Lepisosteus oculatus: one gene and its partner. The protein of the gene in region 1 interacts with the protein of each later gene in a pairwise test. Links are inferred from orthologs where the notes say so. Each region holds a gene or a part of one and is shown in the gene's direction. Other genes may lie near its edges.

The links.
Region 2: the proteins of mtfr1l (region 1) and armc1 interact in binary tests that used the Homo sapiens proteins (3 or more experiments, as listed by UniProt). The two-hybrid records come from large-scale screens. The link is inferred for Lepisosteus oculatus from reciprocal best matches to the Homo sapiens genes MTFR1L and ARMC1.

Annotation. Positions count from the first base shown.
Region 1 is NC_090706.1:7,848,519-7,857,510, reverse strand, and holds the start of mtfr1l (mitochondrial fission regulator 1-like), read left to right. Parts: upstream 1-4,855; 5' UTR 4,856-4,946; intron 4,947-5,782; exon of another isoform or gene 5,783-5,937; intron 5,938-6,178; exon of another isoform or gene 6,179-6,197; intron 6,198-6,518; 5' UTR 6,519-6,652; coding exon 6,653-6,667; intron 6,668-7,357; coding exon 7,358-7,462; intron 7,463-8,238; coding exon 8,239-8,348; intron 8,349-8,816; coding exon 8,817-8,992. UniProt on the Homo sapiens protein: Mitochondrial protein required for adaptation of miochondrial dynamics to metabolic changes. Regulates mitochondrial morphology at steady state and mediates AMPK-dependent stress-induced mitochondrial fragmentation via the control of OPA1 levels.
Region 2 is NC_090701.1:51,112,350-51,121,997, reverse strand, and holds the start of armc1 (armadillo repeat-containing protein 1), read left to right. Parts: upstream 1-5,950; 5' UTR 5,951-6,434; intron 6,435-8,404; 5' UTR 8,405-8,449; coding exon 8,450-8,611; intron 8,612-9,648. Other genes in the region: mtfr1 (mitochondrial fission regulator 1), read right to left, coding at 1,567-1,632.

The DNA of each region.
Region 1 (8,992 bases):
CGTTTTCCAGATACTCAAATCACAGCACCCCTCTCCATCCCCATCACTGAGGGTTACTCTCACATTCTATAGGCCTGAACAAATAGAGGACAGTGCACAGCGCATTGTCAGATGCACAAGCATATACTGGGGCATGGGTTTTAATATTACAATTATTACATCTTAAGTCTGCTGCAACCATGGCTGCTGGTGCTGCTGTACATGCCAGTTTGTGTCTCTGTGTTGGCCAACCAGGTAGATACATCTGTTCTGACCAAACTATCCTATTCTCCTCCCCACATGTCCGGATGGCGCCCGGGGTGGGCACCATCCGAGTTGGATGGCGCATCAATGCCGTGGATCCAAGAGGGATATCGTGGATATAGCTATCGTTTAGGAGGATTTTGCTGGTCTACAGAAATCTGCATGGAGTACTGACATACAGAATATTGGATGGATGAATACCTTTATTGTTTCCTTTTTTTAATTGTATATTGATACAATTAAATGTATATTTAATTGTTAGCATGCCCAAAGGGGTTGGGCATCCAGTTGACTTTGGACCCCTAGAGGTTTTTTTCTTCTCCTTACTAAGGAGTTTTTGGTTCCTCTCATCCGTTGTCTTCCGGTCTTTTCTGTTCTGTATTCACACCATGTATGGTCACTTGCTTTGTTAAGTGCCTTGGGGTAACCTTGTTGTGAAAGGCGCCATAGAAAAATAAACTGAATTGAACTGAATTATTCACTTTATTTAATCAGCTGGCCGCGATGGACTGGCGTCCCCTCCGGGGTGTGCCCTGCCTCACGCCCGGCTCCCCTGTGGCCCTGAACTGGATGAAGCGGTTTAGAGAACTCATGGATGGAGAGCGGAAATCAGTTGAGAATAATATAGCCATTATTGCACACAGGACAAAACCAAGAACGGACAAGCAGACCAATTGATTCAAAATAAAAAACAACAACATTACAGGTAGTGACAGAGTTAACATGCAGTTTTCAGGCAGAAAAAGGGGTTATTGTGGAAATAAAAAGTATTCTGCAATCAGACTTAGGGTTCAATGCTCTTGGAAAGACAAATATTTGCTGAAAGACTTTTTTGTCCTTTGTGACGTCTTTGAGCCCTTTTAAACTCAATCGGCAAATTCAGTAAAGGTGCCATCATGCTCTACTGTGAGTCCTATATTATTTTAAACTGTAGATTTTGTTTCATGAAGGTGAAAGATGATCAAAGATGAATGTCTCAATGATATTCTGGTTACACTGAAAAGGCATATTTCCAGTCATCTTATAAGCTCAGCCTGTACACTGTTTGTGGTTGTTCCAAAGCCTCCTTTTGGTTTTAACAAGCAAAAATAATATTTTAATAAATAAACACACACGCTCACACCAGGGCCAGTTTTCCCAGAAGACTGTGGGAGGAAATAGGAGCACCAGGAGGACACCCACACAAACACGGGGAGAACATACAAACCCCACTCCACATAGCACCCCAGGAACTGAACCTAGGGCCCCAACACCACACTGCGCCACCATAATATTTCTACTTTACTGTCAAAAGCTGACAAGGCAAAGTAAATATGCTCAAGAAACAATGATAAAAAAAAATCACTATTGAAATTATTCAGGCAAATCTAGTGGTACTGTTCCATGTCTTCTCTGCCATTAGCAAGCATTCCTGGCTTAGCTCCTCTGCCCTGGGGGAGGTTTGATCCTGGGAGCGGATGGGCTGAATCTCAGCAGAGAGAAAGAAGGTGATGCAATGTGGACTGCAGGAAGATCGAGGCAGCCTCAATCGATCCCTGCACTAGCGTTCCCTCCCTTCTCCCCTTTCCTCTCCCCCTCCACTTTGAAATGCAAATCAGCACTCCTCCAATCTGGCCTTACCAGCTGATCTGTCCTGATAGCACACGGTTCCTGAGATTTTGGTATTGCTTCTTCCACACAGTGTAAAAAAAGGCAGGCCCTGCCTGTGCCCTTGATAGCTAAGCACATCTGAGGCTGAGGTCTCACGTGGTTAACAATGCTGAGCAGGGGAGTCGCCAGGCTGTAAAGATCGGGGTGTCCTCAGAGGACCTAAAAATAGAGCCATGCCTGAAGGGACAAGAAGAACGTGACCCGAGACAAAAGCCAAAGTCTGGGATCACTGTACTGATTGCTGGATGAAAGGCTTCATCACCAACGGCCCTGTACGCAGCCGATTTGCACAGGCTCTGATCTGGACAATGTGACCTCCTTATTTCCATCACAGCTGGAAACACAGCAGCAGGCGGGGAAGATCAGGCAGCGGGGAGTCCTTTCTGTCGCTGATTTGACAGAAATTACACGCCAGCAGCACCTTGACCTCACTTCTCAGATCTACAACTCATCAAGATCTCAGAAGACCTACAAAATCGACCTTTTTTGTGGCCCCCTAGAGAGGAAAGCCTGGGTGTGAAGGTGTAAATGATACATTTCAGACCCCTTCTGAACCAGAAATGCCCTTAAAAACATGCAAAGAGAAGAAACTCTTCATAATTATTATTTTTCACTGTAAGCAGTCTGACTGATCCTGCAATAACAGACTGATACGTTTTACTTCTGCCCCATATAGCATTATGGAAATTGTAGATTCTAGAGGTTGGTCAAAACAGCAATGTGACCGCAGGAGTTAGTCAACATGAAATTAAGAAAGTCTTGCTCAACTTGTTAGAATTCCTTGAATATGCCACAGCAGTAATGGTTACAAGCAGAGCAAGTCATAAAGTATATTTAGATTTTCAGAAAGCTTTAGATGACATTCCTCATAAGAGATTAATTTGCAAATTGAAGGCTGTAGGCATTCGAGGAAATATATGTGCTTGAATTAAGAACCGGTTAATGAATAGAAAACAGAGAGTACAGATAATGGGTGAGTGTTCAAATTCATTTCATTTCACCAAAACCAGTTTGGTGTAGGAACACTGCAAGTCTGAACTATTATCAATTACCTATATTCTGGCATCATCAGAAAACGAATACGGTTTGCCCAAAATAAATTTTAAAAATAAAAGGATTACAGAGTAATCAATAGTGCAGTGTAGAAGCTGCAAAGAGAATTCAAAAGGATTCTTAAAGAATTCTGGACCGGATTAATGATTAATGATGAATGATTAATGACACTTAATTTAGACTAGGTTATAAGCAAAAAAAGACACCTATTTATGTTTATATACCTTTTATCTTCTTGATCATGCATGCAAGTAATAATAAGGCAGTCAGAATCTTAGAATATATACTTAGAATTTCAAATAAAACCTCATTTGTGTTCATTTTTCATCACCATAGTGCAAAAAGGAATGTCCTGTAGTAACAGGCTAAAATAATGTATCCTTTTGCTCTCTAGAACACAAAAGACTCAAAAAAAAGATTCAAAATCTTAAAAAGGCACTGACACGGTGAAATCTTAGCAGGGGAAACTACAGGAACACTGAGAGCAGGAGGCTTTACACAAAGGGTTGTGGGTGCCTGCAGCCTGTCGAAGGCGATACCTTCATCAAAGGGCTGGATGAGACGCTTGCGTCAGTTACCCAACGGCCTACAAATGAGCTGGGTGGGCCCAAAACCCCTTCGCACTTGCAAGACACTCAGAGGAGAGTCCTTTCACACTCTTCTGACATCTTGTTCTGAAAGTGTGCGTCACATTGACCCAAAGACAGGTGACACTGAGGAGGCATGAAAACTAGAGGCTATAGATCAAATTCTGTAGGTGAGTAAATAGCCTTTCATGCTTAATAATGATTATACTTCTCCTTTATGGGGTGAAAGTACAATTACAAAGAGTGATATCTCCATCTCTTATGTAAAACCAATCTAATATAGCCTCCAGTTGTTCTTTTAATGTAACAATGATACATAGCAATTCAAAGAAATGATGCAGTCAATACTTCAGAAAATGCAAAAGGGAGAGCAATGTCATTATTAAATTATAAGATGGCTAATTCCACTATTTCTATGCCATTTCTGCAATACAAACATTTTGGACTCGTAATGAAACTAAAACAATTCAGCAAGTCAGTGGCCTAAACCCAGCTAGCATGTTGCGCGTTAACACAGAGACTGGCACTGCATGATAATTAGATCTGAGCTGAACACGACTTTGGACGCTGTATGTTAACATGGAGGGATTTGCTCTGCTACCTGATAGTCAGATCCCAAACGACAATATTTACAAAAATGCCAGCGATGGACCGGGTGTGTTTTGTCAGACAGCCGGGATGCCTGTGGCCCAAATCAGATGAGAGCACTTCCGAAGTGTCTCGGTGTCGCATTTGCGTTTGCACGATAATGGTTCTGTTCCCGCGGCTTTGGAGTACACGCTAGGCACCTTCTTTCAAAATACAGAGTTAAATGACGTCCTACTCTTTATGGACCCTTTTCTATTTCGTCCTGAAGTTCAAGGAAATGTGACTGTCGATAACAGCTCGATAGAGAAGAAAGCAGTTGACCGTCTATACAGCATACACCCTGACCCGATGCATTTGGTGCATTTCGTTGCGTTGCGATGCGTTCCCCCCTAAAATACCAAACACCTCTCACATTATCGGACTTGAGCTTAGCAAAAGAGAACAAAAAAAAAAACCCCAAACAAACCTGGTTTTCCCAGCACTGCCTCCACTCGGTGGCGAGGACAGGACCCCCAGACCGCTCGGCGCACTTCTCGGTGCGGGTGTTCGTGTTTTCTGGCTCCCTCAGCAGAAATTGACAAGTTCAGCCGGCGGCTCCGCCTCTCTCTCCGCGGCGCGACCTCCCCAGACGACGCGCGGTGTCTGCCCGGCTCCAGACCCCAGAACGAAACGGCAGGTTCACCGGGTGGTAACTTTTTTTTAGATCCTCATTTTTGGCACCGCGGGTGTCCTTCGGTGTAGCTCCCAGCTCCTCGGTTTGGCGTGAGCAGAGTACTCGCAGCGCACGGTTATCACCAGGCGCAGGATAACCTCCGAGGACTAGAGGTATTTTCGTTGTACTGCAAGAAGCGGTGGTACGATTCCTTAAAAAAAAATGACATATTGTTAATTATTCAGGTGGACACCACCCCTACATCCCTCTCCGCCCACACTTAACCACTACTATCATCACCATTACTGCCATCCACCTACAAGAGCCCTTGAACGCCAGCGGGATCTAAAATTGCATTCTTCTGCAGTGAGGTCTTCAGAGTCGAAACCTTCTCGCGTCGAGCTGAGAGTGTGCGTAATTACACTGTGCTAAAATGCCGCTGGAATTGATTCCTTGGCAACCTTCAAGAAACTGGAAAGATGCAGTGTGTTGTTGTTGTTGTTGATGATGTTTTAAAATCACACCGTCAAACAGCACAATGTTCTTTAAAATACACATTTTTGAAGCAAGGCCAGATACCCAGGCAGTGAGGAAACTGCACGTCATTAATTTGATCTCGTACTTTGTTGCAACAGACGTCAGATTTTTACCGCAAGAGCGAAGAGCATAATATGTGTAAAATAACTTTAAGGCTATTCATTGGGTCTTCGGGGACATCTGGTGGCAAAGCCTGCAAATATTCACCAAGTGCATTATATTATCTGTTGCACAAAGCAATTGTGCATAAACAGACCCATTGCTTCGGAGATTGTCTCTAGTTTCTTCAGTTTATCATTTGAAAGGGAAGTGAGCTGTGAATAAGGAAAAAAAATACATTTCTAACGTAAGTTAACAGCATGGAAAAGGTCAATTAGGGAACTGCATTACTGTAAATTCACGCAAGGGGGCAGTGTGACTGGAGATCGAACCCTTTGTTACTCGGGCCCGGTGGTAGAGTTGCTCTAGCTACTGTAGTACTCTATGGTTCCAGTTCTGTCTAGTCTTATTGGTTTCCACTAAGCGATAATAACAACGATATCAGGGAAAGAGGAAGCTGAGAGCGGCCGCAAGTGTTTAAGCCGGGGAGTTCTTTTGTGGCTGATGAATTTAAAAACCTTGAAGATCGTGAGTAAAATTTCAGGATATCTGTTTATTTTGTACAGGACACTAGTGGTGGTGGGAGGGGGGGTACGCACAGGGTTTTAAACGCCATAGCTCCGACAAACAGGGTCATCTGGGGCTGTTTTTGAAATACCCTCTAGGTCGAGGAATTCCTGGTTGTCCAAAAGGATTCATACAATAACCTACATGATCACTAATACACGAATACTAATACTGCTCTGGACTCAAGAATAACACTAAAGTAAATAATTTGTGATCTCACGGTGGGTATTTCACACGCATCATACTCTCAGCGGTAGAAACTAACACGGTGACATGCAGTATAGGTAGCAAAGGAATAAGTAATAGGTTTATTTCATGCTGAAAAGACAAGAAGGAAAACAACGTGGAGCCTTCTTCAGGTGTGAGAGATGCTGTGCAGGACAGGTAGTCTGCCGTAGTTAACTAGAACTAACTAGCTACTTTTCACAGAATCAGTTTCTGGTGGGTATTTAAATATCATGACCTACATGTAGCCCGTATATGTTGTGCAGCTCTCTCGTCAGGTTTGTCAAATAGTTTTTTTTTCTCCTGTTTCTTTACAGATGTTTAACAGTCACTTTCCTGTCGAGTGTTAAGTGATGTGCATGACGTCTCACGGTACCTAGTGGCCCATGCGATAAAAGACGGGGACTCATATTTTTTTTTTACCGGATTTGAATGTGCTCCGCGATCTGACATGGACCAGGACACGGTAAGTTGTTAGAAAATTGGGGAAAAAAAAGTGCTTTGTGGATTGTAAAATAAGCTGAGCACTTGCAGCTGGTGATGAATTCTATTCGGATCTCCGATATTTTCCTTTTTTAAAATAAAAATATACTAATCTATGAGTGCTGAATTAAAACTGGTAATGAAGGCACTGAAGACAAGACATTTCTCAAGGGCCGGGGATATTTTCAGTTAATGGTGGTTATTGGATTTTGTCATAATATTTCCTTGACATCTAGTTAGTAACGCTATGGGGATAAATAACTAGGAATACTACTCTGTTGACACTCATTAATCACACTGTATTGCCCACTGCATTGTATGTGGCCGTTGTGAGGCAAACGTCTTATTACAACACCTGCTTACAATGCCTGCTGCTAAAGTAAAGTTCACTACGGCTTCTCTGTTTAAATCAGTGAATTATGGAGGGGGTTTTGTTTATAAAAATTAAGCCTTGTGGGCTGAGGGGTGAAGCAGCTACTAAGAAATCTTAGCGATGAATGTTTTAGAACTTTGTCTCCTGGAAGATGTGGTAATTTAGAAATGTGTAAAAGATGAGTCACCGCTGTCACAGACAAGAGCTCATGGGGTGAATACCTAAGGTTGGCACCTGCCCGGCCACATTGTTTGGCACTCCCTTACTCGAAATGCCTGCCTCTTTATGTCTCTCTGTTAGGTCATACCTATTTGGCAGAACAAGCCCCACGGGTCGACCCGCAGTGTGGTGCGGAGGATCGGATCCACTCTGCCCCTCAGGCCCTGCCCAAGAGCGTGTTTTCAGGTGAGAGTGATTGCTACCTGTATTTCAGCACCGGGAGAGGGAGAATTGCATTTCAGGTGAGGTCACTCTGGTCTGGATGAGCTAAGTGATAAACCTGGCTCACACCAGCTCTGAATAGAACACTGTTTTCCCTCCAGCGTGCTGTCAAAAAGTCTTACCCCATCATCCCCATTCTGTGTGTCAGTGCAGGGGTCCTGTCTTCAGTCAGACAGGGGGTTCCCCGCTCTTGGGGTCCAGAGTCCAGCAGGGCTTCTGTGTCTTTTTAAAACGTCCACGGTTGAAGGCTGTGGAGAAAAGACAACCAAGCCCAGTTAAACCTTAAATGGATCAATTTTAGACCTTGCAAAGGTAGGGAGCTGTATATAACTTTTAAGGAAACATGGAAATATCATGGGAGTCTAGAACCTACAGTAGTACAAGAGTGGGAAACCTCTGAAAAGTCTGAATATTGTCAGGGATGTGCTCATCCAGATCCTAATGGACAGGTCAAAGTTACCCTCTATTTTCACAGCGATGGTCTCCGTTTCCTTCTCATCAAGGGAACAGTTTGCATCATTATTTAGACATTTGCTTTGCGCTGCCTTTGTCATGTAGTTTGTGCTGCAATACCCCAATAGAAGGCTGTGGATGTCCAACCACGTTGCTGGAGAGCAGAGTCTTGTAGGCTTATGGCTCTTTTTCATTCATTGATCACAAGATATCTTGCTTAATATGAGCCCCTAATTTAAGATGTTCAGCCGCATGCTGATCTATTTGTTTTTCTGGGAGACATGCAGGCTCTGCCCGGGCTGCCCTCTCCACGCCCCATTGACGGCCCCATGGTGCCCACGCTGGCTGACATCGCGTGGATCGCTGCCGATGAGGAGGAGACCTACGCCAGGGTGCGGTGAGTGCCCTCGTCGGCTCCCACCTGCAAAACCTAGCCTTCAGGCCGAAACACAGATTCACGCGTAAAAATATCCTGAGCTCGTGTGAAATGAGCAACCAAAGCAAATTTCAAGCGTCTTGTTCATTTCAAACCTCGGATCACAGAGGTTACGACCTTGATCTGGATTACAGACGGGTGCATCGTCTGCCTGTGCTGACCTCTCGGTCATATTCTCAAAGCACAGGCCTCCATGCAAAGCTTGTACCTCTTTGTGTTCTTAAAGGACACAATACAGTGACCCTGTAGAGGGGTCACAAATGTGCTGTAGATCAAGATGTGAGTTTAAGGTACCATCAGGAGCTGGTTAGCATTTGCGTTTGGTTTTTGACATAAAAGTTTATTAAAAAAAAATCTTAGTCTTGGTGTGGCAGGAAGAGCTTCATGAGTATGTTGCTATTGTGTGTGTGTGTGTGTGCGCCCCATCAGCAGTGACACCCGCCCCCTGAGGCACGAGTGGCGCCCCACTCCCCTGCTGGTGCTCCAGAGGAACTCCTCCGTGCCCAACTTCAGGCGGGAGGGCAGGAAGGTGGAGGGGCTGAGGAAGCCGGGCCTGACGGCCCTGAACAGGACCACGGCCCTGCAGGATGAGCTGAGCCGGCTGC
Region 2 (9,648 bases), on another chromosome or scaffold:
AGCACTATACACCCTTTTTGATAAACAATTTATATTGAAGGACTACCGTCACATTTAATTTGATTTTCCTTTTTGGTGTCTAGTGATAAAAGACCATGCAACATCACATGGTGGATAAAAAAAATTGGTACCTTTCCCTGTTACTGCACTGTTTTTCAGTCATAATATGTGTTGGGTAAACATTTCTGCTGTACCTTAAACACAAACCTGCCAGAACAATGATCACCCTGTTAAAGAAAGTCTTTTTTCTCTTGAAAAACAGATTAAATTGATACAGCAAATTGACACACAAATGGAAAATGTGAAATGAGCAGCTTGTGATGAATCTTAGAGTGGTTCTATCCCATTTATCCTAGGTCAAACTGAGGTGCTTGTAGGTTCACTCTCGGGGTTCAGTCTTGTCTTGTTGGTGTTTGACTGCCTCACTGTGATTTGAGTAGTGTGAAAACGGTGTGCTGGCTTTTGAGAAATCTTCAAAATACAAAAAGCTTAACTTTCACTATGGAAAATGACAGAATGATCTGGTCCATTCAGCCCAAATAGGAAATGTGTGTGCAAAAGTGGTCATTTCTGTTTAGGAGCATAAAACATTGTGGCTGAGACACATCCTTCTCCAGCCTCAAGACCTTTGTTTTACCCTTAAACAGCAGGAATTATAAGAACTAAGCTGCAGTATAAGAACTGATTTACATAACACCAACTAATACCAAATATAGTAAAGTAAATCACTGCATAAACTACAAGTAACCCACTTAAGAAAATAATTCCACGATCATTTTTAGCTACATTTCAAGAATACTGACTTAGACCTTTATAGAAGAGGAGTATGATTAGTCTATTTCTAACCCTATGGTGCCTTAAAATACTTATAAAAGAAACCTACTGTAAATTTTCTTAGGACAAAAAACAGTCAAAATTGAGACATGCTTACTATTAACATCCACCAAATTATGGTAAAGAGCACAGAATCTGCATTATCAGAACATGTTTTTAAACCAGTCATAAATCGTTATCATAGGCCATCATTATGGAAGAGAGAGACTAATCATCAGGATGAAAGAATTAGGAATTCCTAACTCCCCTTATTCCAGTTCTTCCTGCTGCTGGTTCTTGTAAAAGACCTTATCCCACTTCATTGACCCACAACTCGTCAGTGTACTGGCACTACAGTACAAGCCACAACGTCCTTGAGCGTGAGCTGTAATTTCCAAACGTTTATTTAAATAAATGTGACAGGACTTTTTCCATCACACAGATCACGGTAAAATGATCAGAAAGCTATCGGAGGGAGAGAAAATGATTATTATTAACCAAAATAAAGATTTTCACAGATCATTATTTTGGCATGGCAGGCTTTCCATGCCAGGAGCTCTTTAACTATTTTTTACATGAATAAATAGTAGAGATACCTCTGTAAGTCAAGACATCAATACAAAGCATGTATGCAGGGGATCTGAACAGATGACAAAATTAAGTTCTATGGGCAATGGCAATAAGGACTGCCAGTGAGAGGAGTAACAAACACAAGGCACAGTTGTACCGAATAAAAGAAAAACGGATACTCACTAAGTCCATGACTGTTCCTGTAGATTCCAGGATCATTTTAACGACCCGAATCAGATGGGCAATCATCTAGGGAGTTTCTGCAAGCCATCTTCAACATCATCTTCTGGGTTCCCACAGGTTCCCTACTGGACTTCCATTCTCCTGCCGTCTGAAATGTGAGCACCAACAGGATGGAAGGCACTGAGGCATGGGGCACAATGAGAAACATTTACATGCAAATCACAAGCACGCTTGAATTACAGCTCATACTCGCACAATGGAAACCAGTAACTATGCGTCTTAAAGAAATGACACATTTCCAAAGTAAACAAGTATTGCACTTTATTTATCCAGCAGCCAATCACTCTGCAACTCACAGCTGACAGCCTACTGAAGCTCAACAGCTCATCAGTACCTGGATGGGAGACCTCCTGGGAAAGCTAAGGTTGCTGCTGGAAGAGGTGTTAGTAGGGCCAGTAGGGGGCGCTCACCTTGCAGTCTGTGAGAGTCCTAATGCCCCAGTATAGTGATGGGGACACTATACTGTAAAAAGGCGCCATCCTTTGGATGAGACGTAAAACCGAGGTCCTGACTCACCGTGGTCATAAAAATCCCAGGGCATTTCTGGAAAAGTGTAGGGGTGCAACCCTGGTGTTCTGCCCAAATTTCCCACTGGCCTTTACCAATCGTGGTGTCCTAATAATCCGCATCCATGAATGGCTTCTTAACTCTGTTCTCCTCCCCACTAATAGCTGGTGTGTGGTGAGTGTACTAGCACATGATGGAGTGGAGTGTTCAGAAATGCACTATTAAAGTCAAGTGGACTTCAGAATCTGCAGCAAAAACCACAAGCCAATGAGATCCACTGAAGTGTATTAAAAACTGATAACAGGTGCAGTTCTGAACAGATGGATGATAAGATGGATGAACAGCTGGATGAAACCTTGGGACCAATTACCTGATAGTAAGCAAACAGGCTAGACAGCTCGATCGTCTCCCTCTTGTATGAAATACTTAATAGAAAAAATGTATTTATGACAATCTATATTAAAGCAAACAAGAATATTATATTCTAAGAACACATCAACAGGACATGTAGAAGACTTCTCTGATAAGATAAAGTCATGCAAAATTAATATTAATAATGTGACAAGTATTTTTAAAAATATAATCAACTACTTAAGGCATGTAGAAATACTGTATATATGTTTAAAATATAATGCTGAGTAAACACTAATAAAACAGACAAGCTTTTCACAATTCTTATAAACACAACAATCAACATGATTCTATTCCAATTTCAAAGGACAGATGCTTTGTCCTCAACTGTTCGGAGTCTTCTTTCATATTGCAGGCAGTAAGTAAGAACAATGACCTTTGCCGTTTGTTTTCTGTACTTTGTGACCGACAACAATACTCTATTCTTAAACCTTATGAAACAACATGTTTTTCACAAATCTTTTTCCTTCTCTGACTTAATTACAGACTCCTTACCACAACAACCCCGCTAGACAATGAGAATCAGCCAAGTATTATTAAACAGAGAAAACCCTAAATTATACTGCAAATAAAAAACAATTCTTACATAATAGTATTTAAAAACCTTAATAATACAATCTCAGGATGACTGACTATACAAAAGAGCTAGAGAGCACACTGTGTTACATTTAGTTCTGAGTATGAAGACCCATACAAAGTCTATGAGCTGAAATTCCAAATGAAACAATGGGTAATGGCAATAAAAAGGATTTGGTGGGGGCTTTTATTCATTCCTAGCTCTACTGTAACTGACATTAGCATTAAATTATAAACTAAACTCCAAAAAAATTAATCCCAAAAAATGTGTTTTTGCAGAAACCATGTCTAAAGGCATGTAAAATACCTTAATATAGACAACAGAGTATTTTACATAAAAACGCATAGGGCCACTATGTTACTTCATACAGCATATAAGGTACATACACTACAGCCCTCAAATTCTCAACCATTTAAATGCGTCAACAGCATTTCGACAGACCTATGCAGGAACTCAATTACTCACAGATATTGGTACTTTAAGAATACAAAAATACACAAGCTCCAGCGTTTAGTTTGGAAAAATGATTTGAATTATTTTGTGTTAAAAACGGACTCAACAGTAAATGCCGACAATACCGTGCATGTTTGTAAGCTCTGTTAGCAAGCTCACAGTGTTCCAGCTAGTGGAGATCAGCAACATGCAGATCTGAACAGCATCTCTTACCTCCAGTCTTCTCATTCTCTTGCATGACTGTACAGCACACAAGGAGTGCCACAGGAACAGTGAGAGGATTAGATATATTAAAAATGGATTCGTTGATAGGAATTTGCACAAATCTAAAGAGGACTGTTCATCATTGCTAATGAAAGAACTCTGAGCTAATGATTCATCAGCTCAGAGTGCTTGAAACAACACCAATAATTTTGCCCCTATTAGTCATACCACTTTCCATTTTCAGCAATTAAAGACCAGCTTCTGCCCAAGCTTTTGTGGAAATTAGGTAAATGGTAAACGATTAAGAGCAAAGACATGTCTAAGGTACTGTACTGTATTTGCCATCAACCCAGAACCCAGCATCTACTGTCCCTCAACCTTGCAATACAGACCCAAGCCCTCCTGAGGGGGCAATAGTTTCTTAAGAAAAATACACCTTTCTGTTTTATTTGTACAGCACATTATTTTACCCTTTCACCATGTAGATCTACCATTGATATAGCTTCCTTTTGAAATTTTATCAATCGGAAATAAAAACACTGCCACCACGTGCTCTCATAATTACTAATTTCCTAATTGCTGATGATTTATTTGGTTCAGGGACCTTACGACTGTTAACGTGGCAATAGGAATGAGGAACAGTTTGCATAAAGAGAATCAACCTATCGAGAGTAAAGAGATGCAACTCCCGCATCCAACAGGTTATTTAGGATGTTGCTTAATTTTAAGGCTACCTTTGTCTCCCGCTGCCAAAACACGCACCTGTTTTTTCTACATCCTATCTGCAATTGTTATTGTTCGATTTGTTTGTTTTTTTTTCCAGAAAAAAAAAGAAAATATCGCATGGCACCATATACAATAATGCACAAATGTAAACAATCATCATGGCATGAAAGACGTGGTACTTGACACTGTTCAAACCCAACAACTATAGTTCTACTATTTAAATTGTATAAAACAGCTACAGCGGACAGAGAGGTTATCCACCGAGACTGACTGTCAAATGATCAAAACATTACAATCACAACATTAACACAACATCACCATGATCGTGCGCAAACACGGACCGTGTACACTTATGCGATTATACATCACTTCGCTCCAAAGCAGAGCGTTAGACATTCCCTGTAAAGATAGAAGCTCCTAGCAGATTCGCTAGGAATCTGAAACATGACCGCTGATTTATAGACACCCCTTCTGTTTCTTTTTCCAAAAAAATACTATTGATTCTAGAGACAAGGAGTAAAAAACGTGAAAGTGAAAGGCTATAGGACCCCATTAAACGAATAAACCCAGTGCCGCCAGGACCTCAAAGTGAGGGGCATCGGAAAAATTGAAGTTACTGTTCATGGTCAAGACGCCCTAGACCAGCAAATATCATTTGACGGGCATTTAAAAAACGCACCACTGGAAGGCAGGCTAAAAAAAAACAAAACCGCGTAAAGCGAATTCCTTCCGAGTGACTGCGACTGTGTAACCTCCCACTCAGACAGGCCGCTGGCGTGAAGGACGCGCCGCTCGGACTGGGACATAACGTGTTGTTATCCTCGACTCCGGCTCAGCCCGACCTCTTACAAAGCACGACACCCCAGGATGATAAAATACCTCAACACCTTTTGAACGGTTAACAAACTCTACGACACTGGGCGAGTATTAAGTGTCCAGGGCAACCGGTTTTGAACTTCACCGAACAGCAGCACCAGTTCTTTCAGACGAGCACCGTTTATTTTTTAGGGAAAGAAAAAAAACGTTTCTTCACTGGTTAAAATAACTATGGGGCAGCAGTATTTGCTTGCTTAAAACAATAAGGAAAGTTATTAACGTGCCCTTTACCCGATAACCACCGTATACGCCAAAAACGTTTTTTTTTAATATAAGCAACCTTACCTCCAAGCCAACCGAAACCCTTTTCCCAATATTTCCACTCCCGGCAGCGCCGGGGCGATGGATGAGTGGGAGGGGCTGGACATCGTGTTGCACGGGCTGCCGGCGGCCAATCAGCGGCTACGGGCTTCCACACTCAACCAATAGGTGGCTTGACCGCTGCCAGCGATAAGACGTGATGGGGAGAGACCGGAAGTGCCCGCCTTCTGAAATATATCGTGATGCAATTGGCTGCCGCTCTGTACAACCAATCGGAGGGAGGCACAGAAAAGGCCGTTCCTTTATTTATTCCCAGTTTTTAAACTGCATTAACCTGGGCTTTGTTGTACTAAACGGGGTTATAATAGGCCGTTTAGTACACTTTTTAAAATGACGTAATTGTATTTCACCAACGCAACTTTAACGATTAAATTGTATCATAAAACAAAGACCCTATGCATCCCAGCGTTCAGACACTGGGGGGAAAAAAATGTTATAATGACCTTTCCACTCTAAGAAGGCTTCGCCTGAATGGCGGCTGAACCGGGCGAGTCGTACTGAGTTATCCAATCACAGGCCGCGAAACAAGAATGTGGTTATTTGTGACCTGAATGTGGAGGAAAAAAAACACAGAATGAGGATTTGACTGGACTTTTTACATTGGGGGGCTACTTCTGTGTTTACTGGAAGCCAAGCGACGTTTAAAACGCGGGCAGCTGGACACATCTGTTTCAACTCCCCGGAGAGCCAGGGCTGTCGCGGATCGCAGTGCCCAGCCGGAGAGGGATCCTCGGTAAGGACAGCAGGGTGTGTTTATCCCCCCCAGAAGGTGACATGGTGGAGCCGGAGTGCAACACAATGAACGAGAGCGCAGGAGCTGGCCTGGCCTTGGCCTCTGTCATGCATCTGTCAGTTACAGCAGTGTGTGCAAAAAAATCCCAAAACAGTTTCCGACCAGCCCAGGAGCGGCCCTAGCTTTTATTTATGATCATATGTATATTTTTTGGGCCTCACATTAAAGCGGTCTGTGTTTGTTGTTTCACAGTTAACGGTGATTTGCTGTTACTGTCATGCCGTTCACCTTGCTGGGTGACACGAAAACTTTTTTGTGTGTGTGTGTGTTCCCTCGGCTACGATTTGGGGCTTTACGTATTTTTTTAACGCCAGTCGTTCATAAAGTAATTTAAATTTACCTTCGTTAACGATTGCCCGAGCCATTATATATAGTTTGAATATAACTATAATAATGGAAGTAATTTTTTTCGTCGGCTGTAGCTTGTAGCCTGTCGAGGCTCAATGTCCCGCAGTGTTAATTTGGGTTTTAACCTGGTGGTGACTTGACCACCTCAGTGTCTTTCACGGGTGGGCTGCTGTCCTGAAGAAGACATACTGTAAACTGTTTGTCCTGGAGGTAATATGAGGGATGTGAGGTCAAAAGCATAACGACTTTTTAAGTGAAGACATTTTCCTTAATGTATGAGGAAATACCAGTCCTGTTAACTCAAAGTGTTTAAAAGAACTGCGGACACAGTTCAGTAAAATATGAAGGGGCAAATAAAGAAATCAGTTGAGGTAACCAGCATTTACACGTGAAGCTGTGGGATTTAAACAAAATTAACACTACAACTTTAGACAAAAGAGCTGACAGAAGAGCAAGGTAAAAACTAACATATGTCTTCCATCTGTGAATAATCAGACCATTTGGCATTATAAAAATTGGAAATTGAAAGTGCTCAGTCATATTTTAGAAGACATCAGATTTGCCAAAAGACTATTTTTGCGGTGTGTGGGGTATTCTGTTTGTGGTCACATATGAGAGTAACTGATTGAATGGATGCCACTCAATCTGAAATATGGATTACTGGAATCCGGACATCCACATTTTTGTCTGGTGACCTGTTTAAAACGGTCTGCAGTTTTAAAACGCGTGAACTGAAAGAATACGTGTTGAAACCCTTCATCTGGACACTGTTAATTCATCGTTAATTACTAGGCTAGATAAGTGACGTATAAACCCAGATATTGCTAAGTATAGTTTAATAAACAATATCAAATCTTTCTGGGTCTGAACAGTTTTTACCATGTTCTTGTTCTCAAGTGACCAATTAGAGCCTGAGATGATCATAAGTAATAAAGTTTTAAGGAGGACTCCCACCAAAAGAGTGAATATTTAGGTTAACAAAGATTCATCCTTACTGGGAAAAGTTTCAGAGGTAGGACAAATAGAGATGATCGGAGTGTGAGAAATCATACTCATTATAAACGTCCTTTTGCTACAATCTAACAGGAAGCTACAATCTGCCTCTCCATTGAGTATCTTTTTGGATATCTTAAATTTCCTGTGCTTCAGCTCTGGACAAGCAAAGCCCCTAGGCGTCAGAGGTTCTGTAACAGTAGAGGACATCAGCCTGTGTTCAAGGTTTGTGTGCAGATGTTCAGTGTGTTGACCATGTTGAAGCGCGTCTGATGAGAACTCTGTAAGAAAGTGCACACGTGCCAGACTCCGTCACCATGTGAAGTATTTCTCTGGGTCAGCCAGCTCCTCAGAAACCTTTCAGATCTTCAGCGTTGTAGACGGGCCTGAGCTGTCCTCCTTCGGGATGGGAGAGGATGGCAGGCTGTCGGATATTTCGAGAGAATTGACACCCTGCGAACGTCGGCATTAACACGAGGAGGCCCGTGGCTTCGCTTCTCCTCCTGCGATGTAAAAACGAACCCCATTTCCCTCGTCGCTGTCTCAAGTCCGCATTTTTGTCCCCGCAGAGCAAGCCGCCTGATTTGATGTGCATGTCACAGTAAGTGGCTGCCATGAGCTTGGAGCCCGACGCCCTGGCTGTAGTGAACCAGCTGAGAGAGCTTGCAGCTGATCCCCTCAACAGGAGAGCTATTGTCCAGGATCAAGGGTGCTTGCCGGGCCTCATACTCTTTCTGGATCATCCTAACCCTCAGGTTGTCTACTCGGCGCTTCTGGTAAGGCCTAGAAACGTCGCACTGCTTAAGCAGGGTTACACTTTGTCACCTTATGTGTCTGTTGAAGAGAGGGCCTGTTCTCTTTTATCTTTACATTTTGAATCTTTGGAAGCATCCTGGACTGTTTCATTGTGCTGGCCTGCTGAAAGTTAGTTCTGTACTCTGTGTCTCTAGGGCTTTGCATTTAAATGTTTTGATCACGCTCATTTTCATGAGTGGAATTAAAATGTCTCCGTGGAGCACAGCCGCCGATGGGTTAGTCGCAGGGGTCAGACAGCAGAAACTCTCGATGAGAGAACCATCAAGGCAATGTTAACTCCCTTTTGAGAAATACTGTGAGAATGTTTCTTTCAGTTTACTTGTGGAAATGAATGGCTGTCTGTGTTAAACTACTGTCACTCATGTTTCAAAAACATACTGTATAGATCCTGTTCATATCCTCACTCAGGAATCAATTTGATGTGTCTATCTTTCTAAAACAACCTGTGCTTTCCCTTTTTGCTTAGCCTTAGCTTTTTTGCCTTTACTTTTTTACTTGTTTTTCTACAATACACAAATGTACTTCTGAGTTTGATTTGCATATCTTTCCCTACAAACCTCTTTCCTCACTTTGCTCTCAGTGTTTTGGTTATTTGTCCATTTTGTTTGGCTGTTTTCAATGTTTAATTGTTGCTTTAATTCTTAAACTTGTGGATCAGTTGATTTAAGTGGTGAATTTAAGCAATCCAGTTTTTCATTATTTTTTCCATCCTGCTAATTTCCTAGTGACTCTAGACTCCTACATGTTTTATTTGACCAATTTATAAAAAAGGTTCCAAACAAAATGTGCAAAAATCATTTTACTAGTGTGGGGCTCATGGAGTTAGAAAGGTAAAATCTCTGAGATGTAGTAATTAGCTGCTTTATGAATTCTCATACAGTGTAAACTAGAACTATGCTCTGGTTATTTGCACAGAAACTTTGTAAACATTAAGAAAGTAGTGTTCTTCCGTTTGTTCTCTTTTTATTTTTTTGTATTACGATGATGCCTGCTTTTG